Linked DNA regions of Elephas maximus indicus. The main gene of each other region encodes a partner of the protein of the gene in region 3 in a complex. Links are inferred from orthologs where the notes say so. Each region holds a gene or a part of one and is shown on either strand. Other genes may lie near its edges.

What was found.
Region 1: the proteins of PCNA (region 3) and POLD4 are in contact, whole or in part, in a crystal structure (PDB 6HVO), measured with the Homo sapiens proteins. The link is inferred for Elephas maximus indicus from reciprocal best matches to the Homo sapiens genes PCNA and POLD4. Residues at the interface, in NP_002583.1 of Homo sapiens: Met40, Ser43, His44, Val45, Ser46, Leu47, Val123, Glu124, Gln125, Leu126, Gly127, Ile128, Pro129, Gln131, Tyr133, Asp232, Val233, Pro234, Tyr250, Leu251, Ala252, Pro253, Lys254, Ile255; in NP_066996.3 of Homo sapiens: Lys4, Arg5, Leu6, Ile7, Thr8, Ser10, Tyr11, Pro12, Val13, Val14, Lys15.
Region 2: PCNA (region 3) and MCM7 share a complex: the UniProt entries of both Homo sapiens proteins name them as parts of the replisome complex. The link is inferred for Elephas maximus indicus from reciprocal best matches to the Homo sapiens genes PCNA and MCM7.
Region 4: the proteins of PCNA (region 3) and POLD3 are in contact, whole or in part, in a crystal structure (PDB 1U76), measured with the Homo sapiens proteins. The link is inferred for Elephas maximus indicus from reciprocal best matches to the Homo sapiens genes PCNA and POLD3. Residues at the interface, in NP_002583.1 of Homo sapiens: Met40, His44, Val45, Ser46, Leu47, Glu124, Gln125, Leu126, Gly127, Ile128, Pro129, Thr206, Ala208, Asp232, Val233, Pro234, Tyr250, Ala252, Pro253, Lys254, Ile255, Glu256, Asp257; in NP_006582.1 of Homo sapiens: Ala453, Asn454, Arg455, Gln456, Val457, Ser458, Ile459, Thr460, Phe462, Phe463, Gln464, Arg465.

The regions. Positions count from the first base shown.
Region 1 is NC_064825.1:130,392,277-130,399,161, forward strand, and holds POLD4 (DNA polymerase delta subunit 4), read right to left. Parts: upstream 2,273-6,885; 5' UTR 2,084-2,272; coding exon 1,987-2,083; intron 1,806-1,986; coding exon 1,710-1,805; intron 1,519-1,709; coding exon 1,268-1,518; 3' UTR 1,051-1,267; coding exon of another isoform or gene 1,026-1,050; 3' UTR 519-1,025; downstream 1-518. UniProt on the Homo sapiens protein: As a component of the tetrameric DNA polymerase delta complex (Pol-delta4), plays a role in high fidelity genome replication and repair.
Region 2 is NC_064830.1:91,609,212-91,617,054, forward strand, and holds the start of MCM7 (DNA replication licensing factor MCM7), read right to left. Parts: upstream 3,013-7,843; 5' UTR 3,011-3,012; coding exon 2,941-3,010; intron 2,580-2,940; exon of another isoform or gene 2,566-2,579; intron 2,282-2,565; coding exon 2,202-2,281; intron 1,840-2,201; coding exon 1,675-1,839; intron 1,499-1,674; coding exon 1,374-1,498; intron 1,301-1,373; coding exon 1,120-1,300; intron 823-1,119; coding exon 685-822; intron 368-684; coding exon 218-367; intron 16-217; coding exon 1-15. Other genes in the region: AP4M1 (AP-4 complex subunit mu-1), read left to right, coding at 3,967-4,024, 4,127-4,215, 4,553-4,659, 4,739-4,835, 4,988-5,098, 5,189-5,269, 5,495-5,557, 5,659-5,725 and 7 more. UniProt on the Homo sapiens protein: Acts as a component of the MCM2-7 complex (MCM complex) which is the replicative helicase essential for 'once per cell cycle' DNA replication initiation and elongation in eukaryotic cells.
Region 3 is NC_064843.1:43,716,048-43,722,912, forward strand, and holds the start of PCNA (proliferating cell nuclear antigen), read right to left. Parts: upstream 3,019-6,865; 5' UTR 2,854-3,018; coding exon 2,633-2,853; intron 1,324-2,632; coding exon 1,226-1,323; intron 1,117-1,225; coding exon 1,049-1,116; intron 291-1,048; coding exon 96-290; intron 1-95. UniProt on the Homo sapiens protein: Auxiliary protein of DNA polymerase delta and epsilon, is involved in the control of eukaryotic DNA replication by increasing the polymerase's processibility during elongation of the leading strand.
Region 4 is NC_064825.1:47,903,916-47,911,858, forward strand, and holds the start of POLD3 (DNA polymerase delta subunit 3), read right to left. Parts: upstream 3,012-7,943; 5' UTR 2,816-3,011; coding exon 2,756-2,815; intron 1,439-2,755; coding exon 1,383-1,438; intron 1-1,382. UniProt on the Homo sapiens protein: Accessory component of both the DNA polymerase delta complex and the DNA polymerase zeta complex.

The DNA.
Region 1 (6,885 bases), on a different chromosome or scaffold from region 3:
CTCTAGCCAGTTTCTTACCATAGCCCCCTCAGATGGTGGCCACCTCTGAGCAGGTCCTGCAGGTTGAGACCCTCCCCCACCCCTGCTTTGGATCCAGGTAGGCCCCAACGTGGGAAGCAGAGGTGCATGCTGGGAATGTGTAGATCTGTCTGGACGTGTGAGCCATGGGTCCATGGATCTTTCTCTGTCAAAGGAGCTACCTACCTCTGGAGTGGGCAACACTGGGCAGGGCTAGGTAGTTCACAAGTCAGGTTTCCCCTGGCTGGTCAATGAAATGACTAAAGAAGAGTACTTTCCCTATGCACCACTAGGGGGTGCCAGAGGCTGCTTAGCTCTGGCTTGGACCATGTCTCCTAAAGCACTCTTCCTTCCCTCTAAGCCCTGGGGCTTCGGCAGCATAGAGGTATAGGCACCCAGGAGACTTGGAGAAAAAGAGGAGGCCTGGTATGGGCCTGCTCTCACCTACCCACTTGCTGGGAACTGCCAGCCAAAGCAAGGTCACATTAAGGGACTGGAGGTCAGGATTCCAGGTTCTTTATTGATAAGCATTAGTGAACTCCTTGCCCTGTGAACTCAGCCAGTCTCTGCCCTTAGATGCCAACCTTATCAGGAAGTGCATCTTTGCCTCAGCCGCCCAAGTCTGCTTCCGCCAAGGCTGTGCCTAATTTGCCACACTGTCCCCAGGAGCCCTAGTGTTTAGGGTGACATGTGGCAGGCTCAGGAGGGTCATGGCCAGGTCCTTGTCCAGACAGACCAGTCTCCATCTAGGAGAGGTGCAGCTTCTTCTGCATAGTCTCTGAGGGGGGCTCCTGGAGCCTGATGGTTACATGGAGGGGCTGGGCCGTGGAGACCTCCAGGTTCAGCATGTTGCCTTCCCCGTGAGGCTTTTCCTGCCACAAGTTCCTCCACAGCAGCGCTGAGCCGAGGGCAGCAACTGCCTCTTCCATCTGTCCCAAAGTTCTCCATGGCTGCAGGATTGCCAAGGGCAGGAGGTCCTGGGCGGGCGGTCCTGAGCAGGCGGTGCCTCAAAGGGGATAGAGATGCCAGAGGCTGGGCAAGGTGCGTGGGAGGGAGGGGAATTGAAGAGAGAGTCAGTTAAGTCCCTTGGTGATCTGACCTTACCAGTTCCAGTCCTTGACCGTTGGCTATTGCCCTTGACCAGCCCCTCAGTCCTAAACAGTCCTTGGGCCCTGGGTGTACCCTTTCCCCCAGCATCAGCTCAACCTTTTGCCCTCCTGAGCCACGACCTCAGGGCCTTCTTGTATGCTCAGCAACAACTGGAGGGTCCTGTCCCTTGGCCTGCATCCCCTTCTCCTGAGGCCAGGCAGCCCCACCCAGGCCAACAGGGCAGTGGGCCTGGAGAAGGTCCTGGCTCCCTTGGGTGTCCCCCACCACCTGTCTCTGACCTGCATTGGAAGCGGGGGTCTCCGGGGTGGGTCTGTAGCACCTGATGCACCTTTGGGGGAGGGTCCAAGCCCAACTGTTCTGCCCGATGCCAGCGCTGCAGCCGTGTGATCCCTGCCAATGGGAAGAAGACACAGGGACTTCACGGGGCAGGGGAGAGTCAGGGCTAGAGAATGTGTGTTGGGGTGTGTCCAGAGCCTCACACCCTAGTCCCAGGAAGCAGTGCCCCAGAGAGGCAGGCATGGCTCGGGTGGCTTCAGGGCTGGCTCAGGAGGGCCCCTCGAGGGGCCTGAGTGGGTGCTCACCTGTGCAGGGCCCGTACTGCCAGGCCAGATCAAACTGCCTCAGCAGCTCCAGCTCCTCTTCGTCCACATCCCCGCTGGGGGACTGGGGCTCCTCGCCTGCAAGGCGAAACCGTACTCAGGCCAGGCCGCCCCTGCCTCCCGGCCATCTGCTGCCCCAGGCCTCTCCAGCCCGTTGCCCCCGCCATCCTGCAGCCAGACCGGGAGTGGGGAGTGGACCACACTCTACACCCTCCCTCCCTCCCGTTCCCCCTCCTCCGCCGCCCCACACCTCAGAGACCTGGCTCGGGTGCTAGCTCCCCCTTGCTGTGCCCGGCGGGCCCCTCCCGCCTCTTCACTACGGGGTAGGAGTCAGTGATGAGCCGCTTCCGGCCCATGGCGGCCACCCAGGCAGGCGGAGAAGGAGGCGACTGCGGGGAAGGGGCGAGACAGGCCAGGGCGAGAGAGACAGCTGCGGAGAGGGAGAAGCGGCCAGCGACGGGCAGACACGGTGACCCAGACGAGCGGAGGGAGGAAGTCCGGCAGGTTCCAGGGATGACGCCCCTCACCACCCCCACAGGCACGCAAACAGGAAAAGCCTGAGCCAATGGCAGGCCGCCTCTGCAGGGCGGAGCCCTGGCTCCAGCCAATGGCGGGCGGCGCGGGAGGGGGCACGTTGGCTGGGCCAAAGGAACTGTCAGATGCCCCAGACTTCCCCACCTCGGCCTGCCCCCCTTGTCCCCGCTTGTCCGCAGCGGGGTCTCCAGGGACTTGCGGAGCGTTATCCTCGGCCTCTCACTTCCCGTTTGTCCTTCCTAGGCAAATCTTTTCAGCCTCAGTAATCCCCGTGGCCGTTTTGTAACTCCCCAGAGCCCCACGCGAGGCTTCCGCCCGGCCTCTTGGCCCAGGCGCGTTGTGGGGGCAGTTCTGGAGGTCCGAGGAGAGTCCGCGCTAATCCAGCCCCTTCTCTGCTCCCACCCCGTTCCCATGGGCCCAGGAGACCTGGCTGGAAGAGCCCGCGGGTTCTGGAGCTCCTTTCTCACAGTCTGAACCCAGAGACTGCCCACCCTCAGTCCAGTCCAGCGCCTGTCTTGTCAGCCCTCCTGGGGCCCCCAGCCCGCCCGCCCCACTAGTCAGGACAATGGCATACTGCGCAGGAGGCAGAGCTGAGGTGCTAGTCCTCTCCTAACTTGCCTGGGTCCCCAGGCCTTCATTGGGGAAAGCTGCCACGTCTCTCGCAGTCAGGTGAGGAAGCGAGCAGAAAATACAACAGTCCTAACAATGTGCCAAGTCCCATTCCAAGCACTTTCCCACGTATTAATTAAATAGATGTAAGAATGTTTTCCAAAGTAGGAAGTGTGGATACGTTATGGTCACTGCTGTTAACCACGGGCCTTCATGCCCTCCAGGAGCTCACAGGCCGTCAGGGCGATCAAAGCATGCAAATCATCAAGGCCAGGATATGATTCCTAACAGACAAAAAAAGGAGGAGAAAAGGAGTGTCAGAGACTGTAGAATCCAGGGCTGGGCTAGCATCCGAAGACCTCCTGGAGGATGCGAGCTGCTGTAAACAGTGTCTCCCAATTCTCCACCCATGACCTTTGTCCCTCGGTCTCCTGTCATCGCTGACTCACCCCTACTCCCGCCTCCCCCTCACCAACTTCCTGGCAGCGGGTGAAAGTGCTAACCAGTGGGAGTCTGGGAATTTGCAGCAGGCCCAGCACAGCTCTAATCACCCTGGGGGGATCCCATGGGCCCTTCTTTCCACTCCCCAGAAAGGGCTGGAGGGTGAGGCCAGCTCAGAGGACTCTGGTTCTGCTTTCCCAGGCTCTGGGTTCTGGGTGCACTGTGTTAGGAAGAGAGCTGGGCCCTGGGGGACCTGTGGCCAGTGGTCTTTGTAGAAGTAGGAGAAGTGAATGCTCTGGAGGGAACACCAGAAAGGGGGGGGGAGGAGCAGGCCATCCTTCAGGGGCCTCCTCCTTCCTGGCTCCCCATCAGCTTCCCTAAGGGGGGCTGAGCGGGGAGTGAGCACTGTGGGTGCACTGCACCGGGGTGGAGGCCCTTCCCTCCTTTATTGTCTGGGCTGGGCCATCTAATCCCCCCATCTGCCTCATGGACTAAGTGGGGCCCACATCCAGGGAGACAGGGGCCCGGCAGAGTTGGGGCGGGAGCAGGGAAGCCCATTCCACGGGGCTGGGAAGGGCTCAGGTGTTGTGTCCAGCTGCGCATTGAGTGCCCTGTGGAGGGACAGTGCTAGGCTCTGGGGGACTGGCCACCCCTTCTTGGGGGCCTCAGAAAGAACCTCCTGGACTGCTCCCAGAGGTACACTTGCACGCAGGGTCCCAGCTGTTGCCACCACCCACCTCCTGAGTCCACAAAGCCCTGAGGGAGTAGGGAGCCATGGGTGGGGCAGACCCCTCCTCATTCCTGATCCCTCCCACCCCTGAAAGCTGATAGCCGTGGGGCCCTGCCACCGCCCAGGGAGCGTGAAATGGGGTGTGCCGCTGGGCAGCCACAGCGACTCCTCCTGCAGCCTGGGCCTATGCCTTCCTCTCCGTCTGCAGCCTCTGGCTCTCTAGCCTGCTCTGTGGGCATTGTCTGGGCTGTCCCTGCCAGCAGCCTCCAGCTCTGCCTGGCTCAGACCCTGCCGGCCTGTTGCACCCAGCCAGAAGATGTCTCCCTTGGGTTTCACCCCCGCCCCCCAGCCACAAGAATGAGAATCAGAGTGGTCAGCTTGAGCACAGGACTCTGAGGCCCGGCTTTCTGGCCAGAGTGAGGGAACTCTCCACAGGCAGCAGCGGCCTCTCCTCCCATCAGACAGCAGGATAAGCCACAAGGGGAGGGGGCACCCAGGACCAGAGCCATCCTTGTCCCTTGGCCTTGCTCCATCAATCAGTGGGATAGCCCCGAGGCAAGGTGTACTCATGACTGGAGTCATCCTTGTCCCTTGGGCCTACTCCCTGACTCGGCATCTGGACCCCAAGGTGCGCTGGCAACTAGGCCAGCCCTCAGCTGCCACCTCCGTCTTTTCCTCCTTGCCCCCTACCTGTCTGCCTCATATCACCTACCTGCCTGAATTCCTGTCCTAACCAGGCAGCGTCCTAGGCCCATCCCCGAAACTGCTGGCCTGGGGCTTCTCACAGTGGCAGCTTCAGGCTGAAGGGCCAGCTGAGGTCTGAGTTGAGGACTAAGTTCTCTCTCTTTTGAGGCATGTCCTGAGACTCAAGCTCAGGTTCCTTGGCTCACCCTGACACCCAGAGGCTGGTGATGGGACTGACGGGAGTGACCGCTGATTCTCGGCTGGGAACCCTCAAGGGGAGCCCAGGAGAGAAAAGAGCTGGAGCGTGAAGGGGCCCAGTACCTTCCTGAGAGCCGAATCCTGCGGCTGGCTGCTCTGAGGGGAAGGGGATTAGGCCTGACTTAGCTCAGACAATGTGGCAGGACAGGAGGGGGAGCTCAGCACTGCGCCTGCGCCTGGTAAGCTCCCTCCCTGCCCCCAGCTCACGATGGGGCTTGTGGGCAACTCCAGGTAGAGCTGGGAAGGTGGGGGCAGGTGAGGGAAGAAAGCAGCTGCCTGTGGCCCAGAGGCTGTGGGGCGTACCCTGCTCTTCCCTCTCCCGCAGCAGCCCCTGCTCAGGCCCCCAGGCCCTGCCACCCACTCTGAGCTCAGGGGATTCTGGGCAGCCAGACTGATATCTCAGCCCCCAACATACTCACATGCCTGAGGCCCCATTCCTCGCCCTGTGGGCCAGCATTCTTCCTGGCAGTTCCTCCTAGTTCCTCACTGCACTCCCAGACACCCCTCCTCCGAGTCGAGTGGGCTTAAGGGCCAGTGGGAGCCTGCTCGAGGTAAAGGTTCCTCAGGGTCTCTCTGCCACAGGATGTCTATTCTGTCCCATACCAACTACCACCCTCCATACCTCCTCCAGTCCCCTCCCGGTTTACCTTGACCATCCTGCTCTGGAGAAGTCCTGGGGCCCTTCTGGCCATTCTTCACCTTGGCCACCAGGTGTCAGACTTGGTCTAGCTGGAAGGAAGGTCCTCCTTAACTGTTTCCACCCCATCAGCCAGGTCTTGGAGATCAGATATAGTTGGAGAGGGGCCTAGGGGTGACCTCTGACCTGGCGAGGCTGAGGGACCCAACAATAGTTGTGACTGAGAAAGGGCTGGACCTGAAGTTTTCTCACAGTCCCTCCATTGCCGCCCCACCCCACTGACAAGGGCTTTGTCCACTGCTCGTAAAGGGGGGACCCAGACTGAGTCAGGGAACTCAAGGACTGAAGGGACAAAGGCAGGGACAGTTGTGGCTCCAGAGAAGAAGGGGGGCTGAGAGGGGGCCGCCTGTTGGAGTGCTCGGGGGCCTGAATCACTGCCCTTGCCCTCTAGGTTAAGGGGAACAGACACCTTGCTTTGCTCTTCCCCATTTGGGGTAGATGAGAGAGAGAGAGAGTGTGTGTGTGTGTGTGTGTGTAAAATGAATGCTTGAATTAATCCCCTCACATACCGAGGAGATCCCTGAGTCCTGGGTGTTGGGCCAAGTGCCAGCAAACCTTGTTCCCACCATCACCGAACCCTCTTCCATATCCACTCCTACCCCACCCCAGCAGAGCTACTGCCCTCAGGGAACCAACCCCCATCTTGTTCATCCTCTTGAGCACAGGTGCACTTCTGGGCTCCCTAGATGATAGTGCAACTAATCCCCAGTGCATGGCATCTGGAGAGGACAGTGAGGAGGGCCGGCTCTCCCTCGCGCCATTCTCCCAAGCCTTCCTGGGAACATAGACTTCTAGAGATAACATCCCCCAGGACTCTGCAGGGTACCAGGTAGCCAAGGTTCTTAGGATACCTGGGCCCCTGACTGTAAGGCCATACTTGTGTGGTGGAACCTCAGATAACCAAGGGAAGCTCACTCGGCCCCTCACTGCATCTCCTAAGACAGCTGTGGACAGAGAACTAAGGACAAACTCACTCACAGAAAAGACTGATGAGCCATCCCTGGCCAGCAGACCTGTGCCAAAGAGCTAGCATCTTCACAGAAGGCCCAGGGGACACAGTGGCAGAACTCAAAGGAGGGTTCATACCCCCAACAGCTCATTAGGGAGCTGTCTGGGGGAGACTTCGAATGAAAACTCAGAAATGCCCTCTCAAGTGGCACTCTCCTCTGCGGCCCTCCCTCCGGCCGTCCCCTCCCTCCCCCTGG
Region 2 (7,843 bases), on a different chromosome or scaffold from region 3:
CTCTGAGAGTAAGCCCTATGGCAAGAAAATGCTGGGTATGGATGAAACCCCTTTACCTGTCCCACTCACCTGATCCCCTAATGATTTCCAACAAAGCCCTTTATATATTTTGTTTGGTATTTTGCTGTTAGTAATTTTCCTCGGGGCTAGAGGTGAAGACAATGAGTGAGAGGAAGAGAAAAAGAAATATTTCCTCATTTGAAACACCCTTTCTTACCTGTACCACCTGTCGGAACCCAGTACGCAGGATTGGCAGAAATATACCAGTGACACTGATGTGGTCTCCAGGCTGGGCAATCCTTGTGTTCTCTCCTTCAACCAACACTGTGATGCTTCGGGGGATATTTCCCACAGGAACTTGGTCACTCTAAGGGAGAGAAGAGCATATAAAAAGAAAAGAATGTAAGCCCACGGGATCAAACCTCACCTCCCTAGACATCCCATTCTTCTGCTTCTCAGCCTAGCCAGCTCCAGACAAGCCCCTAGGAGGAGCAAAAGAGACCCCCTTTACCTTTTCCTCACTCAATCAGAAAGTTTCAGCTGAGGTTAAATTTCTTTTCTGCTCTAGGTGACTTCTCTTGCCTCAGCTCTTTCTGCTTTCATTCTTTCTCCCACTCCGCAAGTAACCCCAGGGTTTGAGCAGACTCCCTTTTCACCCACCCAGGGCACATACACCAAACTCACATGCTCCTGCATCTTCATCTCTTGGAATTTGATGAATTTGGAGCCACGTGTCTGCAGATACAGCCGCCCTCCGGAGCGGTTGGTTTGGCACTCTTGGCTTGGGCACATGATCAGAGGCATGAAAGTTGGAGACTGAATCTAGGGTGTGAGAAAAGAAACAATAAAAACAATCAAACATAAAAACCCCTTTACCGTCAGTCACCTGACTCATCATGGAACTGTCTAGAACATTTTTAACCCTTCTGGATCAACAGCGACAGATACCAATATAACCAAACAAATGGCAAAACCACTACATATCCCAATAAGAATGGAAACTAAGCACACAAGTGTGTCGTAATAAATAAAAAATAACAAACATCAGTGAACAAATATAGTTCTTACAAAAACCATTAACAGAGTTAACCGCCTTCGTGTTCCACGCTCCATGCTTACCGGCTGGTAGGTCTCTGCCCCGCACTGATCACAAGTGTAGGTGGCCACCACCATCCTGGGTTTGACTTCAGAGACACGAGTAACGATCCCACGCACAGTTACCAACTTCCCCACCGAGTCAGCCCGTACTTCCCGGATCACACGAGGCTTGCTGCTGCTTGGGCCCTGGAAGTACAACTCACTAAAAGGAGAAAATGGTTATTAGCAGGGTTCTACTAAACAAATTGCCACATTCTTCCCCAGAGGCCACTCACAATCTGCGCATGAGTTCAGGAGGATACTGGTTCTGGGGGCTGCGGGCAGCTGCAGGGTCCCGGCCCCGCTGTTCCATCATCAGCCGATGCTCAATGTAAACATCCAAGACATCTTTATTTACCACCTACAGTAGGACCGACAAAAACAAGGAAAATGAGCAGCAGGACAGAGAAGGAAGGCAGCATAAAGGGCCCCAAACAGAAGTCACCGCCATCACTTTCCTGCCAGTTCAAAAACACCTGAGAAGCTTCTCAGCAAAGACCTAAGTCTACTGGCCTGCCTTTTCCTCCAACCACTCACCTCCCTCTCCTTGTACTGAGGCAGCAGCTCTTGTACGGCATCAGCAAAAAGCCTCGCATAACGCTTAGCGTTCTCACAAATCGAGTCCACCAACTCAGGGTCATCCTCCGCTATATCATCCAGGTCCACATACAGTGCCACTTGTTCCCGATGAGCCAGCTGAACCTGGGGTGGGGAAGAGACAGCAACACTTCAGAGCCAAGTTCACCTTGTTCACCAATGTTCACACATGAAAAGCCATCACTGTGAGCTCAGCAGTCTCGGGGCATGTACAGGGAGAAAGAACAATGTGAGACAGCAATACTCACTCCTCTGCCCCCAAAGACAACCTCCCACCTCCTAAGACATTTTAGTATTATTTTATTATTATTAGTATTATTACGAGTGTACTTTTACACTCATCGTGCATTAGGTGCCATGCTAAACGTGTCATTTACAGACAGATTTACTTGCTGAAACAAGCCAGGCCACCTTTTAGAGCCCCTTAAGCAACTACCCCATTCCCTCCATCTAATCTTAAAACTTACCAACTGGTTCCCATACTTAAACAGCTTCTTGCCAGATTCCTCGTCGTGGTAAAACTCTTGTAGGAACTTCTTAGCCTTTTCTACAAAATAAATGTAAAATCGTGAGAAAAACCCCTTCTTTCAGATACCTAACTAAAAATCCCTTTGATGGAAATCTAAGAAACCCGCTTTCATTTAAAACAATCTGTGCGCTAATTAGGCAAGTACCTAAATAACTACAAAACTCCCCAAACCGGGCAAAACTCCTTTTCACAAGTCTGTTTTTAACCAAAAAAGACTAAGTGGTCCTGGCAGCTAAGAGTATTACCCGACACCCTCCTCGCAGGGAAATTCCAGTCTCTGCCGTAATTAAAACTCCCAGTACCTTTCCCCAGTGGCCTCCCACACTCGCAACACAGGCCTGTCGGTGCTCAGCTTTTCTTCCACCCATATGATCTCCTTTCTTCTCTCGGTCTCATAAATTGCTGTTCTCCTCGGGATCTCTTGCCACTAGGCCCGTCTCCCAGCCCACTCCCTCTCCCCGCCACTGCTTCCGCTCTTAGTAAACAAAGAAGCACATGGGCCCCGAATCCAGCCGCCTCACAGCCCGGGATTCCTCCGCCCGAGGCGGGAGCCCGTCGGCGATTGGCCAGCACGCCAAGGGCCACGCCGTTCCACACTACTGCCTCTTCTCTCTGCCTCCCGCGAAATTCCCCAATTCCAGGCACGCCCCACCCCAGGTCGCTCCCTCCGAGGCTACCGCGCGGAAGAACACTGTTTACACACGACGCTCCCTCCAGCCAGTCGCGCAACTTCCGCCCTGTCTTCATTTCCGCTGCGAGGTTGGCCCACGACAGCCAATCCGGGCGCGCAGCGGCTCTGGCCTTCCCGCCCCTGGGGCTTCGGCGCGCCTCCCGTAGGACGCGGGAATTCGAGAGTGCCCAAAGCGGGGCGGGAAGCGAACCGGGGGTCCCCATCCCTAAGGCCGAAAAGCCCCTCAAACAGGGTCACCTGAGGTCTCGGTCTCGTCTGGGCGTGACCTTCCCTGTGGAGCCTCCAGCCGGGCTCTCCGCCCCTTACCCCCACCAGGACCCCGAGCTTTCCTGGACAGGGTTATCTGTCTTCCTTCGACCCCGGTGCTCCTGTGCGCCTCCCAGACCGTCTGCCTCAGCCTCGCCGTCTCCCGACCGTACCCCTGGCCTCACACGCCCCAGAGCCCGCCGACCCCGGCCCTCCACGTTCCCAGCCTACATCACCAGCTGTTGGCCTGGAGGCTTCCCGTGCAGAACGCCCCTCCCGGGCTTGCAGACCCTTACCTTTCTCGAGCGCGTAGTCCTTAAGTGCCATCCCTGCCAAGGGGCGCGCGGCAGCAGTTGGCGGGCCGAGGAGACTCGCGCCGCGAATAGCAAAGAACGTCCGCGCGGCTGACTGCGCTCGAGCAACTGAAATTGGCGCGAAACGTAGCCCCCCACGTGAGCGGCGCCACTCCGTGCGGGCCAATTGGAAAGGAAGGCCTGTCGCCCTTCCCACTCGCGGCAGGCCCCAGCCGCCCCCCGCTTGGGCCAATCACCGGCCTAGCCTGGGCAGAGTGGCACGGAGGAGGCGGGGGGGTCGGGTGGAGAAGTCCGGGCGAGGCGGGGCGGGCGCCCGGTTTCCCGCGGTCCCAGCCGGCGGGGGCGGAGGAGAGTCGCTCTTAAAGGCCCAGCCCACGCGCGTCCTTTTGTTCCAGAGCCGCAGGGCGGGGCAGGCCGAGGTCTCGCAGTCTTGTCTCCTCTCCAGAACGACCATGATTTCCCAGTTCTTCATTCTGTCCTCGAAGGGGGACCCGCTCATCTACAAAGACTGTATCCTTGACATGCGGGGCGGGGGTGGAGCGACTTGGTGGGAGTGGTGCCCCAGAGACAGGGTGTATCGCCAGCTTCTTAACTGTCCTTCCACCCGGTCAGTCCGCGGGGACAGTGGTGGCCGGGATGTGGCCGAGCTCTTCTACCGGAAGCTGACGGGACTGCCCGGAGACGAGTCCCCGGTTGTCATGGTAACCACCCCGCAATGGGGGGGGTAGGAGATGGCGGGGACAGGTGGGCGCCTCCTAGTCCCCGGGGCTGTTCCCTGAGAGCCTCCATTTGGTGAGAACATTCTCCCAAATAATATTAATCAAAGTTCATTAGGTGCTAACAATATACCACGCACAGTTCCTTGTCCCTCAATTCTCAGAACTCTGGGGTAGGCACTCTTTATTAACCCCGTTTGCATCTTAGGATGCTGGGACTTAGGATGGTTTCAAGTTCACCTGAAATTGCACTGCTATTAAGGAAGCTAGGATGTGAACTTAGGTCTTAACCACTAGCTCTTTTCCTGCCTCTGCCTCTCAGCACCACGATGGCCGTCATTTTATTCATATCAGACACAGCGGCCTCTATTTGGTGGCCACGACTTCAGAAAACATTTCTCCCTTCAGCCTCCTAGAGCTGCTCTCCCGGTGAGGAGGGCTGGGCTGGGCATCTGGGAGTGGGGATCTGAGAGAAGGAGAATATACACACCTCTTTCTTTTGCCTCAGGTTAGCCACCCTCCTGGGTGATTACTGTGGCTCCCTGAGCGAGGGGACCATCTCCCGCAATGTAGCTCTTGTCTATGAACTACTGGATGAAGTGTTGGTAAGCTCAAGGATATCCCTCATTTGTCCCTGTTCCCCTGACATATCCACTCCTCTACGTGGGATCCTATTGTTGGGAAGCTAAGTACTCCTGCTCCTTTTCACCCCTTCTCCCTACTGACCACCCAGCGATCCTCCTTCCATCACCAATAGGACTATGGCTACGTACAGACCACATCCATGGAGATGCTGAGGAACTTCATCCAGACGGAAGCTGTGGTCAGCAAGCCCTTCAGCCTCTTTGACCTCAGCAGTGTTGGCTTGGTCAGTGGAGGGGGTATAAAAAATGAGGAAAGAGAAGGAGGGTTGGCTAGGAGTAACCGAGAAGGATTGATTGCTTTGGGTGTTTTACAGTTCGGGGCTGAGACACAACAGAGCAAAGTGGCCCCCAGCAGCGCAGCCAGCCGCCCCATCCTCTCCAGTCACTCTGACCAGGTGAGGAAAGAATTGACAGTGGCAGACTCTCCCAGTTTTTTTCTGGACTCCAGAGTCAAAGATCCAGGTGTTTCTTTCCACTACCCCTAGAGCTGAGTATTCCTTCCCTCACCCCCATGTCCCCACCCCAGGGCCCTAGCCTCAACTATGCGATCCTTTCAGCCTACCCGTTTTAGAATACAGGCCATTCGGCCTCCAACCACCCAAATCCCCTCTCTTCCTCAGAATCAAAAGAATGAAGTTTTTTTGGATGTGGTCGAGAGATTGTCTGTACTGATAGCATCTAATGTAAGTTTGGATCCCTAGCCCTGGAGCTGAGGACAGATGGTATATGGGAAACACGCTGGGGTGGACAAAATTCTGGGTATTAACTTCCCTGTCACTCTCAGGGCTCACTATTGAAGGTGGATGTGCAGGGAGAGATCCGACTCAAGAGCTTTCTGCCCAGCGGCTCTGGTGAGAAGGCCACAGGCTGGCCCCAGGGTTGGGTAGGGACAGGCTCCTTGGTGGTACGTATGGCGTTGTTAAGTTTTCTGACGTTTTTTTCTAACAGAGATGCGCATTGGTTTGACAGAGGAATTTTGTGTGGGGAAGTCAGAACTGAGAGGTAAGGAGAAAGCCTTTCTCTCACAGGTATTTAAAAAAATTTTTTTTTGTTGCCGTTGGGTCGATTCAGACTCATAGTGAACCTATAGGACGGAGTAGAACTGTCCCATGGGGTTTCCGAGGAGCGGCTGGTGGATTCGAACTGCTGACCTTTTAGTTAGCAGCCGAGCTCTTAACCACCGTGCCACCAGGGCTCCCTCCTAGGTGTAGGCATTGCCAAGATTTCATAGAGAAAACTGGATCATCTTAGAATAGGGGAAGGGCATTTAAGTGTATTAAAGACATCCTCCCCCTCTCCCTGCTCTTCCTTCTCAAAGTATGTCTTAAGAGAGGGGTCTTTCTCTCTTTGCAGGTTATGGGCCAGGAATTCGGGTTGATGAGGTCTCATTTCACAGCTCTGTGCATCTGGACGAGTTTGAGTCTCATCGAATCCTCCGCTTGCAGCCACCTCAAGGAGAGGTCAGGATAGGGGTGGCCCAGTATAGTCTGTCTACTGTCGGAAAAGGAGGCAGTTCAGGTGTGAGGAGACTGAACCAACCTCTGCTTCTCTCTGGTTTCAGCTGACTGTAATGCGGTACCAACTCTCAGATGACCTCCCCTCCCCTCTCCCTTTCCGGCTCTTTCCCTCTGTGCAGTGGGACCGAGGTTCAGGCAGGTGAGATCATTCCCTGTTGTAGAACTTCTCTGGAACCCAAGCCGATACATATGTGTTCCCAGGACTTACTGTGGAGGAGTGGCAGTGGTAGTGATAATAGATTGAGAATTAGAAAAAGGCACACTTTCCTCCATGTGGACTCAGCCCCATGAGAGGCTTGGCTGCTGGAGTTGGGCTGGATTTCAGCACCTTCTCTCTCCCTGGGGCACAATTACACAGCCATGCATGGAGGTCTGGGTGGGGAATGGTGAGATGCCAGTAGGACATGTTCTCGGTAAAGGTGTTTTACCCTTTCATCCAGGCTCCAGGTTTATCTGAAGTTACGATGTGATCTACCTCCAAAGAGGTAAGAGTTGGGTCTGGCCAGGCCTAGTTCAGCTATGTGAATAGGACACAGGGTCAAAATATCTCCTGCCTTTTCATATGCACCCATCAGCCTCAGAATCCCTTTTAACATAGAGTCCCCTAGTTTGGGAAGGGGATGGTAGCACCTGTGTTGTACTCCGGTTGTGACATTAAAGAACGATGGGGACAAGTGACTGTACCTTTCTGGGGCTGACTTGGTTCATTTCTTCTTTGCAGCCAAGCTCTCAACATCAGGCTGTACCTTCCCCTGCCACGAGGGGTGGTCAGGTTAGTGTGCGTGTGGGTGGTTTCCCCTGCTTCCCTGAAGAACAGGGGGAGTAGAGAGCATGAGCTTTGAAGTACAACTGGCTCACCCCCCAGGAAGGTGGGGGCTGAGCTCAGCACCTTTCCTCACCAGCCTCTCTCAGGAGCTGAGCAGCCCAGATCAGAAGGCAGAGCTGGGGGAAGGAGCCCTTCACTGGGACCTACCTCGGGTACAAGGAGGCTCTCAGCTGTCAGGCCTTTTCCAGGTATCAGTTGTTGATTCTCTGAACGCCCTCCCCCCAAAGAACCTTCATTTTCAGCCTCTGGCATATCCCTCCTAATGGCACTGTTCCTATCTGGCCTCTTGGGGTCCTTGCCCTCTTTCCTCTCCAACCCTTCAGCACCCCTCTTCCCACCCCTGTTCCTCACAGATGGATGTCCCCAGCCTCTCTGGGCCTGCTGGCCATGGGCCCTCCACCTCAGCCCCTCCACTAGGGCTGGGCCCTGCAAGCCTCTCCTTTGAACTTCCCCGGCACACATGCTCCGGCCTCCAGGTTCGCTTCCTCAGGCTTGCATTCAGACCCTGCGGCAACGCCAACCCCCACAAGTGGGTGCGACACCTAAGCCACAGCGATGCCTATGTCATTCGGATCTGAGTGTCCCCAAATGAGGACACTGTCAACAGGAAAATGATGATGTCTGCT
Region 3 (6,865 bases):
ATTTTGTCTGCTTTTCCTTAATTTCAGCAACTAACCTAATATTAAGCAGTATTACAATTTTCTTCAAAATATATTTTTTATTAAAAACTACTTACAGCCTCTTCCTCCTTATCGACATTACTTGTTTGTGACAATTTAATGTTTCCATTCCCAAGTTCTCCACTTGCAGAAAATTTCACTCCATCTTTTGCACAGGAAATGACAACAGCATCTCCAATATGACTTAGATCTCGGCATATACGTGCAAATTCACCAGAAGGCATCTTTACTACACAGCTATACTCCTGTTCCTATAAAACAAACAAATTTAAAGGTTAATTGCTCAAAATTAAAAACTTGGCACTTTCACTTAAGAGGCAACATCTAAACAAATTTTCTCTAAAATATCACTGTGTAATTCCATAATATACTCCAACCACTCAAAAAAATAAATGCAGATGTAAACCAAATATGCTATCAGAATATTTGTATTAAGAAACATCAGAGCATAAACCTTTAACAGTAAATGCACTATCCACGGACAAGAGCCTCCTGCTAGCTAATCATCCATCCGGGCTAAATCAAGAGGACGTTAGGGTATGGCATAGAAACCATACCTAATTCCTTCTGCAAGAAAATAAGAGAATATGGTACTAAGCATTTTAAACACCAAAACTCCTTTTTTCTCTCCTCAGATGTTGATAAACCCTAACCAATTTCTGTTCACACAACTTTAAAATCCACTCTTAATAAAAACCAAGCATTAGAGAATTTAAAACAACAGAGATGCACGCAGATTAATTTGAACATGCATGCTTGGCAGCAATGATTTCTGCTAAAGATTTTAGACTACTGTGGTTTAATAAAATGATATGTCAGTCCAGATACTAAGCCCACTTTGGAATATGCACAGCAGAAATATTTCTAGAAAAAGTTCTGTGGATAAGTAGACTTTGACTATGTAAGTTGATTACAACTAATGTTGATTACAACTAATGTTGATTACACTAACGCTTGTGTAATTAGCATGTGTATGGTCTACTCAACAATCAGAAACTTGGATACTCACTGGAATTCCAAGTTGTTCAACGTCTAAATCCATTAGCTTCATTTCATAGTCTGAAACTTTTTCTTGGTCTACCAAAAAACAAAAACCAACAAACATTGTTGAAAAGCATCCAAGCTTGTAAGTATAACACTGCCTTTTAATTTTCTCTGGCATAATTCAGTAAAGAGTATGACTTACTTGGCGCTTCAAATACGAGTGCCAAGGTATCCGCATTATCTTCAGCCCTTAGTGTAATGATATCTTCATTGCCAGCACATTTTAGTATTTTGGACATGCTAGAAAACAAGACACAGGGTTTAAAACCAATACCATCTTCTCAAAAGGGTAAGATTTCTAATGTAATTAAAATAAATAAGGAATTACCATTTTCACCCGTTAGGTTGTCTGATGAATTGGGAGAACAAACAAACTAGTGGAGAATATGTAAACTGGTCCAGCCATTTTGGAGTGCAATCTGGCAGTATCTAAACATAACTGAATTAAAACCGCACACACCCTATGACCAGCAATTCCATTTCTTCGTATACGTAAATAAGCAGTATTTTCTAATTGCAAACCCCTTTAATTAGTGCTGAAGTTAGTGGGCCATAACGATCAGGAAAAATTATCTAATAAACCTGTTAGATGTACGCACCGCATGTAGTATGGTAAATATTTCTCACAAGCTTTTATTTTAAAAATGTGAATATACGTTAAGTACTAGATACCCAAACAAGAGATCCATTGCCATGGAGTCGATTCTGACGTACAGCGACCCCACAAGGGAGTGGAACTGTCCCGACAGGGTTTCCAAAGCTGTAATCTTTACGGAAGCAGACTGCCGTATCTTTCTCCCTCAGAGCGGCTGGTGGGTTCCAACCACCGACTTTGGTTGGCAGCCGAGCGCTTAACCACTGCACCACCAGGACTCTAAGTACTATAACCCACCCACTGGCATCGAGTGATGCCGACTCAGCGAAGCCATAGGGTTTTCAAGGCTATAAATCTCTACAGAAGCAGACCTTTCAGTTAGCAGTCAATCACTTTAACCACTGCGCCACCGGGGCTCCTTCCAAGTACTACAGCAGCATAAAATGTCTTCCGGTGGGTAGCGTTCAATGAAGTTGAAAGCAACTGCCCTGGAGAAATTTTTCCACAAACCCAGCATCTTAAGATGCTTACTACGGCCTTATTAAACAATAAAGGACCAGGAATCATCGGGGTAACAGAGAGATACATTCTCAGTAGGGCGCGCTACAGGGTGGTTAAAAGTCGACCACGACCAACGTTTCCTAGCCAAGACGGCCAGCATTTAACGAGCAGGGAGCTCGGGAACAGCCTTTTCCCGGCATCGCAGAGAAGCCGGTCATTTTCCCGCCACCACCCAGCTTTGTGACTTTGGCGCGGAAACACCCGGTTCCCGCGGCCCTCCGCGCGGGCTTTCCCGAACCGCGCGCCCCGCCGCGCCCCGCCCCCCGGCGCCGCCGGCCAATGAGAGGGCGAGGACGACCCACGCCAGCCAGTCAGGGCCCGGCTCAGAGACTCCCGCCAAGGGTCCGGGGAGGAGGGGGCGAAGGCCCGGCTCCTCACCACCCCTCGGCTCACCTGGTGAGATTCACGCCCATGGCCAAGTTGCGGTCACAGCGGTAGGTGTCGAAGCCCTCGGAGCGCAGGGTGAGCTGCACCAAGGAGACGTGGGACGAGTCCATACTCTGCAGGTTCACTCCGCTCGAGCTGATGTCCCAGCAGGCCTCGTTGATGAGGTCCTTGAGCGCCTCCAGCACCTTCTTCAGGATGGAGCCCTGGACCAAGCGCGCCTCGAACATGGTGGCGGAGTCACAGCGACACGGCTACAGGCGGGTGGATGTAGGACGATCAGAGCGACCTCCGGAAGCTTGAAACCTAGGAGGACCACAACCAACCCGCCGGCGCTGCAACCGTTTAATACCGCCGAGTCAGAGAGCGCGCACTCTCCGCCCCTGCGCCCCGCGCCGAGACGTCACCACGCTGCCCCGCCCACCGTCAGGTGGAGCGACTCCAGGGCCAATCGTTTCCCTGCTCCCTGAGAGGCCCGCCCACCTGGGCGTTTATTGGAGGTGCAGGCCAGGGGGCGGGGACAGCATCCCGCGCCTCGGCAGGGGGCGGGGCGACGTGTTTCCCCTTGGTTTTTCGGTGATTCTGACCCTAGGCGCGGGTTGAGTTGGGGCGTCAGGGGCTCCCAGGCCTGGGCTGGGGGTCGTGAAGCCCCAGATTTGTGGTCACTAGAGAGTCGCCGTGTCTCCTCAGCTTCCCGCTTCAGGGTGGAAAGTTACCAGCCAAGAAAGTGAAAGCGAAACCCAAATCTCGCCTACAAGGAAGGAAGAGCTGACTTGTAGTCGGAAGAGTGTATCAAAAAAAAAACACCTAAACCTATTGCCGTCAAGACAGTTCTGACTCATAGCGACTCTATAGGACCGAGTAGAACTGCCTCAAGGTTTAGAGGGAGCGGCTAGTGGATTCGAGCTACCAACCTTTTGGTTAGCAGCCGAGCTTTTAACCACTGCGCCACCTTATAGAAGTGACGTGCTCCTAAGGGTCAAGCGATATAAGTGTACAACCTTACGTTTAAAAAAAAAAGTTATTTCAGTTCCCCGGCACATCTCTTAAACCACCTTTCCACGCATAGCAAGGGCAAATAAATTCTCAATTATGTACTAGACTTTTTTTTCTTGTGTATTTTCCTCCTGGTTTGTTCTTTGTTGTTTTGCTTATGGCCTTTCTCTTAAGTTGCTTTTAAGTTTTATCCTGGTATATAGCGTTCTTCAGTTTTTCTACCACGTATCTAGGGGTGGATTTCGATTTATTTATCTTGTTGAGGATATTTTGTGCTTCCAGAGTCAGAAGATTCGTCGCGGTCATCAAGTCTAAAATCTTCTCATCCATAATGGCTTTAAACATTGCCTTTCCCTACTCTGTTCTCTTCGTCTGGCATTTCTATTAGACATATCTATTTTACTGAATTTAAGATACCCTCAGTTATTTTTTTCAGTTGTTAGATGTACTGTTATTTTATGCAGTACAAGAAAGGAAAAGAAATGCTGTCAAACTATCATACAAGCTTTATCACTTAGAAGTTCTACTTTCTAATTATTGAAAGAGCTTTTAGACTTTCAAAAACATTTTATTCATATTATCAACTTTGTGCATACATAACAAAGAAACTATAAGCAAAATAAATTAGTTAGGGCATGGATAACTTCTTTCCACTGTCAGAATTTTCCCATTTAGTTGTTGATACAATAAGTCCCAGAATTAAGAATGTCAATTTATAGACTAGTAGTTAAGAACAGACTGCCATAAAGCCTATTGTATTAAAAATTTGAGTTATATACAATGGTTCATAATAATGAACACATGTACTACTTTGTGATGCTCAGGAAAACATTGCTGGGCTGAGCCGATGGGGGCTGGAGGAAGGAGAAAGAGCACGTTGCCTACACTGTTGAGCGTGTAACTTGATATTATGGCTTAAATTTTCTTCTTAATTTACCCTTGTTACCATGCTTCCAAAGTGTAAAACCAATACAAGTGCTGGGGATGCATCAAAGAAAAGGTAAACCATCACAACTGAAAATGAAGTGGAAATAATAAAGCGATTGGAAAGAGCTGAAATGCCATTGGTCGCTGGAAAAGCGTTAGGCTACAGTCGGTCAACGATGGGAACAATTTTAAAGGCTAAAGTGAGACTGATGGAGCACGCGAAAGGCTCTGTCTTCCCCAATGAAAGCTACAATTACAACAAATTACTGTTGATAATTTGGTGAGATGATCAAAATGAGCGTAATATGCCTATTAGCCTTATTTTAGTGCCTAAAAAGGCTCAAAGGTTTTTTTAATGATTTGAAAGCTGCACGAGCAGCATGTGAAGGTGATTGTGATGAAGAACTCCTGGTGAGTAGGGTTTGATTCTAGAGTCCCATGAGTCAGAATTGACTTGACACAATGGGTTTGGTTTGGTTCCATTATTTCAAACTGAGGGCAAATTTACATAACATTAAGGTGCAAGGTGAAGCAGTGTGTGCCGATGTAAGTACTGTGAGTGATTTTCCTGAAACATTTGAAAAAATTATTGAGGAGGGAAGTTATTTGCCAGACCAAATATTTAATGTAGACAAGACTGGCTTGTTTTGGAAAAAAATGCCTGAAAGGACCTAATTTCAAAAGAGGGACAAAATGTACCACAGCAGCAGATGTTAACCTCTGAGGAAGAAGACCAGGACCTAAAAACTCCAAAACCGGAAAAGTTTTTCACAAAAGAGTTAGCTGAAGCCTTTCATCTCATCGAAGCAGGGATGGCAAGGTCAGAGGAGCAAGATCCTAATACAGAGAGGTTCACCAAAGTTTACCATACAGTTACCTAGGGCCTCAACTGCCACAAGGCCATTTATGACGAGAAAAAGAAAAGCTATATACAAACCACCCTTGATGTCTACTTCAAGAAGTTGTCTCTAGTAGTAAACCTCCACCCTCCAGGTGCAGAGTGAAACCCTGACTCTCCAGCACCAGGCCCGTCCTTTCCAACACCAGGCCTACCCTCTTCAACAGTAGCCATTTCTCCATCATCTTTTCCTGCATCATCCAATTATTAACGTTATCATAATGTTACCTTGTGAATGCCCCTTCCGGTATGCAAGACATTGATGGAATGAGAGTATTAACCTTTTATCATGATCTTTTTTCTATCTAAACTCTTGTAAGAACTGTTTGTTCTTATTTTTTTACAGTACCGTATACCTGTACACATACACACACACAGATTCTCTCTTCACTGTAGTACCGTATGTAGTTACTTCTATTATTACTGTATTACTATCAGAATTATAATGTTTAAGATGTTTTAGTGTATTTGGAACTGTTTCTTAAGTATTTTATATACATAAAACAAAACAAACCCATTGCCTTTGAGTCAATTCTGACTCATAGTAACCCTATAGGACAGAGTAGAACTACCTCAGGGCTTCCAAGGAGCGCCTGGCAGATCTAAACTGCCAACCTTCTGGTTAGCAGTCGTAACACTTAACCACTACGCCACCAGGGTTTTCTTTATACACATAAAAAAAAACATAGAAAGGTAAAATATATACTGTTTACTATGACAAAAATTTGACTAACTGATGCTAAACAAGAATGGTATGTACCTGTTCTAACTTACCTACAAATTTGACTTAAAGACAGATGTAGGAACGGATCTTGTTCATAATCCAGAAACTGTCTGTACTGTTGTTTTTCCGTTTAATATATTCTGTATGGTCAAGGGTGGTGATGATGAAGCATTTTTCAAAAGACTGCCCCTCAATAGACATAGGCACACCTATGTCGATTACTGCGTTATACACAATAGTAAAAGATGGAAACAACCTAAGTGCCCATCAACGGATGAATGGATAAACAAATTGTGGTAAATACATACAATGGAATACTATGCAACAATAAAGAATAATGAGGAGTCCACAAAACATAACATGCCTGAACCTGGAGGACACTATGCTGAGTGAAATAAGTCAATCACAAAATGACAAATATCGGATGGTCCCACTATTATGAAAAGTCAAGAATAGATATACACACAGAAAGCAACATTTTTTGACGGTTACCAGGGGCAGGAGGGGGGAAGGAGAGGGAATCACTTTCTAGATATTAGACACTTGTTATTTTTGGCGATGGGAGAGACAATACCCAATATGCATGAAGTCTGCACAGCTTGACCAGTATAAATGAAAACACTAAGAAGTATACAAGAAAAAGAGATAATTTCAGTAAATGCTATAATATACAATTTTGCAATAACAGTAATAACAA
Region 4 (7,943 bases), on a different chromosome or scaffold from region 3:
GGAGGACTTGTTAGAGGAAGTAATAAGTGAAATTTGAGCTGAAATCTGAAAAGATGGGGACAGCTGGGAGAAGAGCATTCCAGGTAAAGGGAACAGTGCAAAGATCCTAGAGTGAGAATGAGCCTGGCATATCTGAGGGACAGAAAGGCAAATATGGCTAAAGTACAAGTGAGGCAGAGAGTGATATGGGATGAAGTTGAGTAGAGAGGCAGGGGATAGACAATGTGATAATGCTATAAAAATTACAGATAATCATGGCAGCTACCGTAAGATTGCAGGCAACTTGATTTCACCTTCCGGGAACGCCAGTCTTCAGTCATGCGTTGTTAACTCAACAACCCTAGAACAGCTACCTTATTTCATATTTGAACACGCATAACTGCAATGAACAATAACTCTAAAAGATATCCATTCCCACAGCTACCTGAACCTCTTGGGTTTGGGCCAGAACTGGTCTTAGCAACAACAATCTCAGACAGTCAAAACCAGTACAAATCCATCCCTGGGCCAAGAGTTTCAGGTCTCAAGGGCATGAAATCACAGTCAAAATCAGACTCCTAGGCCTGTCAAATAGCAACCCAAACAAAGCCAAAACAGCCTATTCTAGGGAGCAGCAGTTTCCTAAGACTTACAAATTATTCCTATGACTCTAAGAAGGTTCCTACAGAGAAAAACCAGGTCACCCTTAGGAACAAAACAAACTAAATGGGTATTTATATATACATACATACATATATATATATATATATATAAGTATATATATATAATGTCCTCATCATTTCCTCCCTTTGGAACACAGATAAAATCTGTACACTTTTCAGGTCAAAAAATGTTAAAATTAATTCAAAAGCTTTCCTTTTCACTTCTGGCCTCAAATTGGACCACAAATTTCAGCAAAGAAAGGTGACATGTCAAAATTCAAGAAGGGAAATACTCTGCACCATCCTTTTTTAAATAATTCTCCCACCTTACACTGTTACACAGCTTGTGTCAAACACCTGTTGACCTCATTATAGAAGTGTTTCAATAGCATTCAGAGATGAGCCTAAAGAGCTTACGTGAAAACGTAATGGAAATGTAAGCTAAGAGGCAATATAAATCTAAGATGTAAACAGAGTCGATTGCCCCATTTAATAAATGCAAAATAATTAAGTGATGCTAGCCAGAGACTGTAAATAAATCCAGTAAATTTATCACCATATATTTGTGTACCAATTCACCTACCTCTTAAGATAAACAAAAGTAGTAAAAGGTGGTAAAAATGGTATCCTTTCCCATTCACCTGGGGTGGGGAGGGGGGAATAGCTCTAATCTAGAGGCTACCTGTAGAGTTAAAAACAAAACACTACAAAGTATTAAAATCAGTAGTAAATTGGACTTACTGTTTGGCCTGGTTAACATGAACTCCTAGTGTATAGCTCAGCCATTTGTATGTCACCTGCAAAAAGGAGCAATTTTTAAAACGTTTTATTAGATGACTCCAGAGTACAGATTAGTCCCAAGGGTCTGCTCTTAAAGTGTCCTGTTTTCAGATGATTATGCCTTATAAATTATGATAGCTTACACCCTAGTTTTGCCAAGAACCATTCATTTGGTCAGAAAGGATCGGGATATTTATCTTACAAATACTGAGAAGCTTGTTGCACAGACTAATTAGCACAAAAGAGGCTTTTTAAAAAGGCTGAATATATACAGAAGGAAAAAACTCCTTTTCCTCCCCACACTCCTAGTTTTACCAAGATCCTTCTTCACATTCTGTGAAATCCTGGGGTCACCACCCAAAACTATCCTAAAATTCATCTAGAAGTTAGATTACTTTGAAGTGTATGACTCAGTAACTTCTAAACAAAGTTGCAGGTTACAAACACTAAAGGGTATAGGTGGTGTAGGGATCAGGGAATAAATTAATAAAGTGGATGAATATTGTATCAGAGGTCAGATTGGGGAATGGCTGCCATCAAACCTTGATCTTCCTTCCACCCTTCCTTGACTCAGTATGTCTGTCACTCTCTTCTCAAAGTCTATTCCAATTCTAAATGGCTGAGCTTACAACAGTTATAAGACCTACATAGGTTAGACAAAGGCAGTGTAATGAAGAAGAAAACACTGGCGGCAGAAATCTAGGTTCGAAAACTTACTACCCCTTATTTTGCCTCTCTGCCTCAATGCTGTCTTTTAAGGATACTATCACGACCTCTCAATGGCTCGCTGTAAAGATTACATGCAATGTGTATCCAAAGAGCCCTAACTCACACTCCACATGCAACAGTGGTTTGCAAAGTACATTCACATCCATCGTATGGTTCGTTTCCAGCAACGCTGTGAGGAGGGCCAAGCCTACATCAATACCGAGCTTTTTAGGAGGAGTAAACCGGCTGTTGGTTAAGCTTGTCACCTAAGCCGGTTAAGGCACAATTTATTCAACTGCAGAACTGGGGCTTTAAACGGCAACCACCTTGCAAGATAAGTGTACGGGCGACTTAGAAAAATGTGCTTAGCCAACGCCCCTCCCTCTGCGACCCCTGCCCGGTGCACAGTCCCCACACGCCCACCGAAGGGGCTCCGACTAGCGCGCGCGCGCCGAACGGCCTCTCCCGCGAGCCTTCGCGAGCCCTGGGGCACTAGTTGTGGGGCCCTGCCTTCCCTAAACCAGACCCCACGAGGCCCCAAGCAGAGGGGACCAAGGCCCCAGGCCGCCTTCGCCGAGCGCAGGACCCCAGTACCCTGCCCGCACTCTCCAGCCCTAGCTTCTCACAATCTTGTTTTGGTCCATGACGAATTCGTCTATATTTTCCAGATAAAGCTGGTCCGCCATAGCGCAGAAGCTCTGCGCCCCGCCGCCTGCGGAGGCCCTCACGCCACCACAATCGCAACTCCCGCCGGCGGGAAACGTCGTTGCACTCTCCCTTCCAGGTCTGGGGTCGTTTCCCACGGCAACGGAGGAAACGCACTACGGCGGCCGCCCGAGAGTCAAACTAGTTCCGGAGACCGCGCCGGAAGCGGGCCGGACCCGGCGGAAGAGAGGTACCGGAAGAGGAGGCGTGGTCTGGGAGAGAGTGTATATCGAACTTGGGTTTCAGGCTCTCGACTACCGTTTAGTGATTGACCTTGGGCGAAATATCTCACTTTTAGGAGCCGTAGTCATTCCACCGGTAAATTGATGAAACAATTCATGCCCTTTCATGAATTTTTAACAAATATTTATTACTAAGTACCTATCTTTTTTTGTATTATATACGGCACTGGGTTTTGGGTTATTATATTTCAAAGGACCCCTGGCGGCGCAGTGGTTAAACGCTAGACCGCTAACCAAAAGGTCGACGGGTTGGAACGCACCAGCCTTCCCGCGGGAGAAAGATGTGGCAGTCTGCCTTGGAAACCCTATGGGGGCAGTTCTACCCTGTTTTGTAAGGTAGCTGTGAGTCTCCATGGCAAAATGGGTTTGGGTATTGTATTTTAGGCACTTCTTAGGCACTGAGGAAACAACAGTGAACAATAGATACAGAGAAATAAACAATTTTAGGACAGAGTGATGCCAGCTGCGATAAAGTACTGCCTGTTATGATCCCTTAGAATTGAGAAACTAGGAAAGGTTTTCCAGATGGGATAAAAGAGGGGGAGTGATTCCGGTAGAGGCAGGGGTAGATTGTCCAATTAAAAAAAAAAAAAAAAAAAAACAGACAAAGGTAAACTTGGTGCTTACCTTGCTTACCAGATAATTTGTAGTGAATAATTTCACATTTTTTTCACATCTAACATTCTGCTTCTAGGTATGGCTGGCATCTGTCTCTCACCCAACCCCACAGTACCTTCCTACAGAATCAAAGTCACTTTTTAAATTTACAGTCCCAGTAAACAAGGTATATGGATATTGGCTATAAGCAGAGAATACCAGAAAGATGTTTACTTGTGTTTTGTTGACTATGCAAAGGCATTCAACCACGTGGATCATAGCAAATTATGAATAACACTGAGAAGAACAGGACTTCCAGAACACTTAATTGGGCTCATGAGGAACCTGTACATAGACCAAGAGGAAGCCATTCAAACAGAACAAGGGGATACTGCGTGGTTTAAAATCAAGACGGGTGTGTGTCAGGGTTGCATCCTTTCACCATGCTTATTCAGTCTGTATGCTTGGCATATAGTCCAAGAAGCTGGACTATATAAAGAAGAATGCAGCATCAGGATTGGAGGAGGACTCATTAACACCCTGCAATATGCAGATAACACAACCTTTCTTGCTGAAAATGAAGAGAACTTGAAGCACTTACTGATGAAGATCAAAGACCACAGCCTTCAGGATGGATTGCACCTTAATGTAAAAAAAACGAAAATCCTCACAACTGGACCAATAAGCCATATCATGATAAACATATATTGAAGTTGTCAAAGATTCATTTTACTTGGATCCACACTCGATGCCCATGGAAGCAGTAGTCAAAACATCAAATGACATATTACACTGGGCAAATCTGCTGCAAAAGACCTCTTTAAAGTGTTAAAAAGCAAAGATGTTACTTTGAGGACCAAGGTACACCCGACCCAAGCCAGGATGTTTCCATTTGCCTCATATGCATGGGAAAGCTGGACAGTGAATAAAGAAGACCAAAGAAGAATTGATGCCTTTGAATTACGGTGCTGGTGAAAAATATTGAATATACAATGGACTATCAGAAGAATGAACAAATCTATCTTGGAAAAACTACAGTGAGAATGTTCCTTAAAAGTAAGGATGATGAGATTTCATCTCACATACCCTGGACATGATATTGGGAGGGACTAGTCCCTGGAGAAAATCATGCTTGGTAAAGTGGAAGATCAGCAAAAAAGAGGAAGACCCTCAAGGAGATGGATTGACACAGTGGCTACAACAGCGGGCTCAAACATAACAATGTGAGGATGGCATGGGACCAGGCAGTGTCACATTCTGTTGTGTGTAGGGTCACTATGAGTTGGAACTGACTGGGCAGCACCTAACAACAACCTAACATTCCTTAAGGATGAGACTTGACATCAGTGCCCAGAATTGAGAACAAAAGCAGTTCTCCAGAAACTAAAACAACCAACCGAAGTATCTGCTAACCAAATGAGGCCAGACAAAACTGTTGGGGATGCCAGTGTCAGGTGATACCAGCAGTGGGAGCCATAGGATCAAGACTCTATAGCACCTAAGTCTCAAAAAGGAACCTAAGGTTGGTGTTAGAAACCTTAGGTTGGTGTGTCCTGGCCCTCCCCTTTCTTTCTCTCCATCCCCACTTTATCCTAGAAATTATTGACACCGGAGAATCTTAATGATCCTGACATGGGGTGGGAAATATAGATAGGGCTCAATATCAGAGTGGGGGTGAAGAGTGGTCAACCTACATGCAGACAAGAACCCCAGACTCAGGGTAGGGGAAGGGGGCCAGGCCTCTGACCGAAAAAGGGGATCTGTTGTAGCAACCTAGGATTCTCATCAGCCAACTGGGCTTTAGGGCTGCCATAGGTCTCTGGTAGGTAGCATTCCAGGCAGGGTAACAGGTCCAAACCAGGGAGTACAAGATTAAGATTTATGACTCAGTGGTCACGTAACTATCCAAGGGTCATTCCAGAGGCCCGGGACTTACTGACCAAGGAATTTAGTCATTTGATCATTCATTCATTCAACAAACATTACTAAAGGGCTGGTGCATACCAGGCCCTATGTGCCTAATGGGAACACATCATGGTCTTTGTCTCTGGAAGTTTACAGTTTCTGTGAAGGGTCAACAGCAATACAGTGTTAAAGAAGCTCAGGGTGCCATGGGAACCTGGAGGAGGCACCTAACCCAGCCTGAGGATCAGAGGAAATATGGGGAAAGCTTTGGACTTGGATATCCAGGGCTAGACACCATGTAATCCCTCTGCTTACTTTAGGCAAAAATAAGAAATGTATTCTGAGTATTGTCATTGTTATAGTTTTAAACAACACACAACAAGCCTGTATTTTCCGCTTTTATGAGAACATGTGTATCTTGTATAGACTGTTTTGTGGAATGTACAGCCTCCTCTAAGGCCAGGACACACCAACCTCCAGGTGTGCTTATTCTAAAACCTTATCAGTTCTATAAAAATCAGTGTAAAATCCTTCAGTTACCCAAACAAAGTGGATAAGCCAAGACAAGACAACACTCAGACACTGGTTCCCCTGTTTCACACCCATGGCTACCCCATCCTACCCCCAGAAACACTCACACTTCATTCAGCCTCCTGATTCATTAGCTCAATCCCCAGAAGTTCACACTTCTACCTTTGCTGACTCAGACTTTCAGAAAATGACCAGGAGGACCCCCACCCCCACCCCCATCTTGCAGTTGCTTTGTATACTATTGTCCTTTCTCTCTTTCCTTGGGGGCTGGGGGAGTGTTTTGGAATGATGATGGTGACAGTAAAAATAACAAAATCAGCTATGAAAAATTTTCTCTTAAGTAAATCATTCCTGGATCTAATAAGTATGGGGGCTGGCACTCAGAGATAGAAAGAAGCTTATGATCCTACCCTCAGAGACCATTGCTCTCTGGCCTCCAAACACTGCTGGTTAGGAAGATTTCCTGGCGAAATGTTACGTAGGCTCAGCTTGAGTAGTGAGCAAAGAAGGGGCAGATGCCATTCCAGACACAGTCTTGATGGGCCAGGCTGGTCTCTTTGCCTCATCGTTTCTCTCTCTCTCCTGGTACCGTTGCTTTGCCCTCTTATGACTTTTCAGTTTTCTTCTTTGGTTTAACCACAGATTCTACGTCCTCATAATTTTAATTTAAAACAGCTGTAGGTTGCCATGGCTTATCTCAACTTCTACCTCTGGCTTTTGCCTTGTCAGTAACTTTAGATTTTCTCAACAATTCTCCATTTTGTAATTCCTAAATTAATGAACATGATTAGCTCAGCATATCTTTTTATCTCTGATTATCAGTATCTTTTTTCAGAATACTGAACATCCAGTGGACAGGTTCCTCATTCATTCATTCTTCAATTGTTCATTGAGTTCCTTCTACGTGTTCTCTCTCTCTCTATGAAAAACAATAGAGTGCAAGACACATATGGCCCTGGTTGGAGACAAATAAGTTAATAGACAGTTACAAAACCATGTCATAAGAGAAGAATAGGACTCACCCAGCTAGAGATGTTCAGTAGGCTGTGGGATATATGTCTGTGCTTAGGCACAGACTTAGATTGGAGACCCACAGCATATAGACAGTCACTGAGGCCATGAGAGGCAATGAGATCACCCAGGGATAGAGTTGAAAATTGAATCCCAGGGAACATCTGCAGTTAAAGAGGAAAGGCCTACAAAGGGAACTGAGAAGGAGAAGGAAGGGGTAGGAGGTGCAGTGTGGAAACAAGGAGAAGTAAGTATGAAGGAGGGAGTTATCAACAGTGTCAAATGCTTCCCCCAAATGGTGTTAGATAGGGATTGAGAGAAATACAATGGATTTGGAATTGGGAGGCCTCTGGGGACCTTAGCCAGAGAAGTGAGAGGCACAGAAGGCAGATTGGAGTTAATTAAGGAATGAAGAGTGAGAAGAGGAACTGAAGACACCTCTGGCCAATTAACTTTGTGGAAATGAATAGTGGGTGGGGGTGGGGGTGGTCATGAAGTTTATAATATCTGTCTAAGCAACAGGGTTGGAAGTGGTGGTGGGTGTTAGAAAAAAGTATGACAGGCATTCTGGGGTCTCTTCCGCCTAGAATTTCCGTAGTCAGGATTGCCTCAGAAACTGCAGGCCTGGATCTATAGGAGGGCATGCAGTAGAGCCTGAGTTCCCATGGAATCAGAATTCTTCAAAGGTCTTTTGACCCCTGGATTTCCAGCATCCAGCGTGGCCATAGCTGGCAAGAGGTAGGCCCTTAGCAAATATTTGTTGGCTGTTGACTGAATGGCTGAATGAATAGATGGATGGATGAAATTGAATTAAATATTGTTC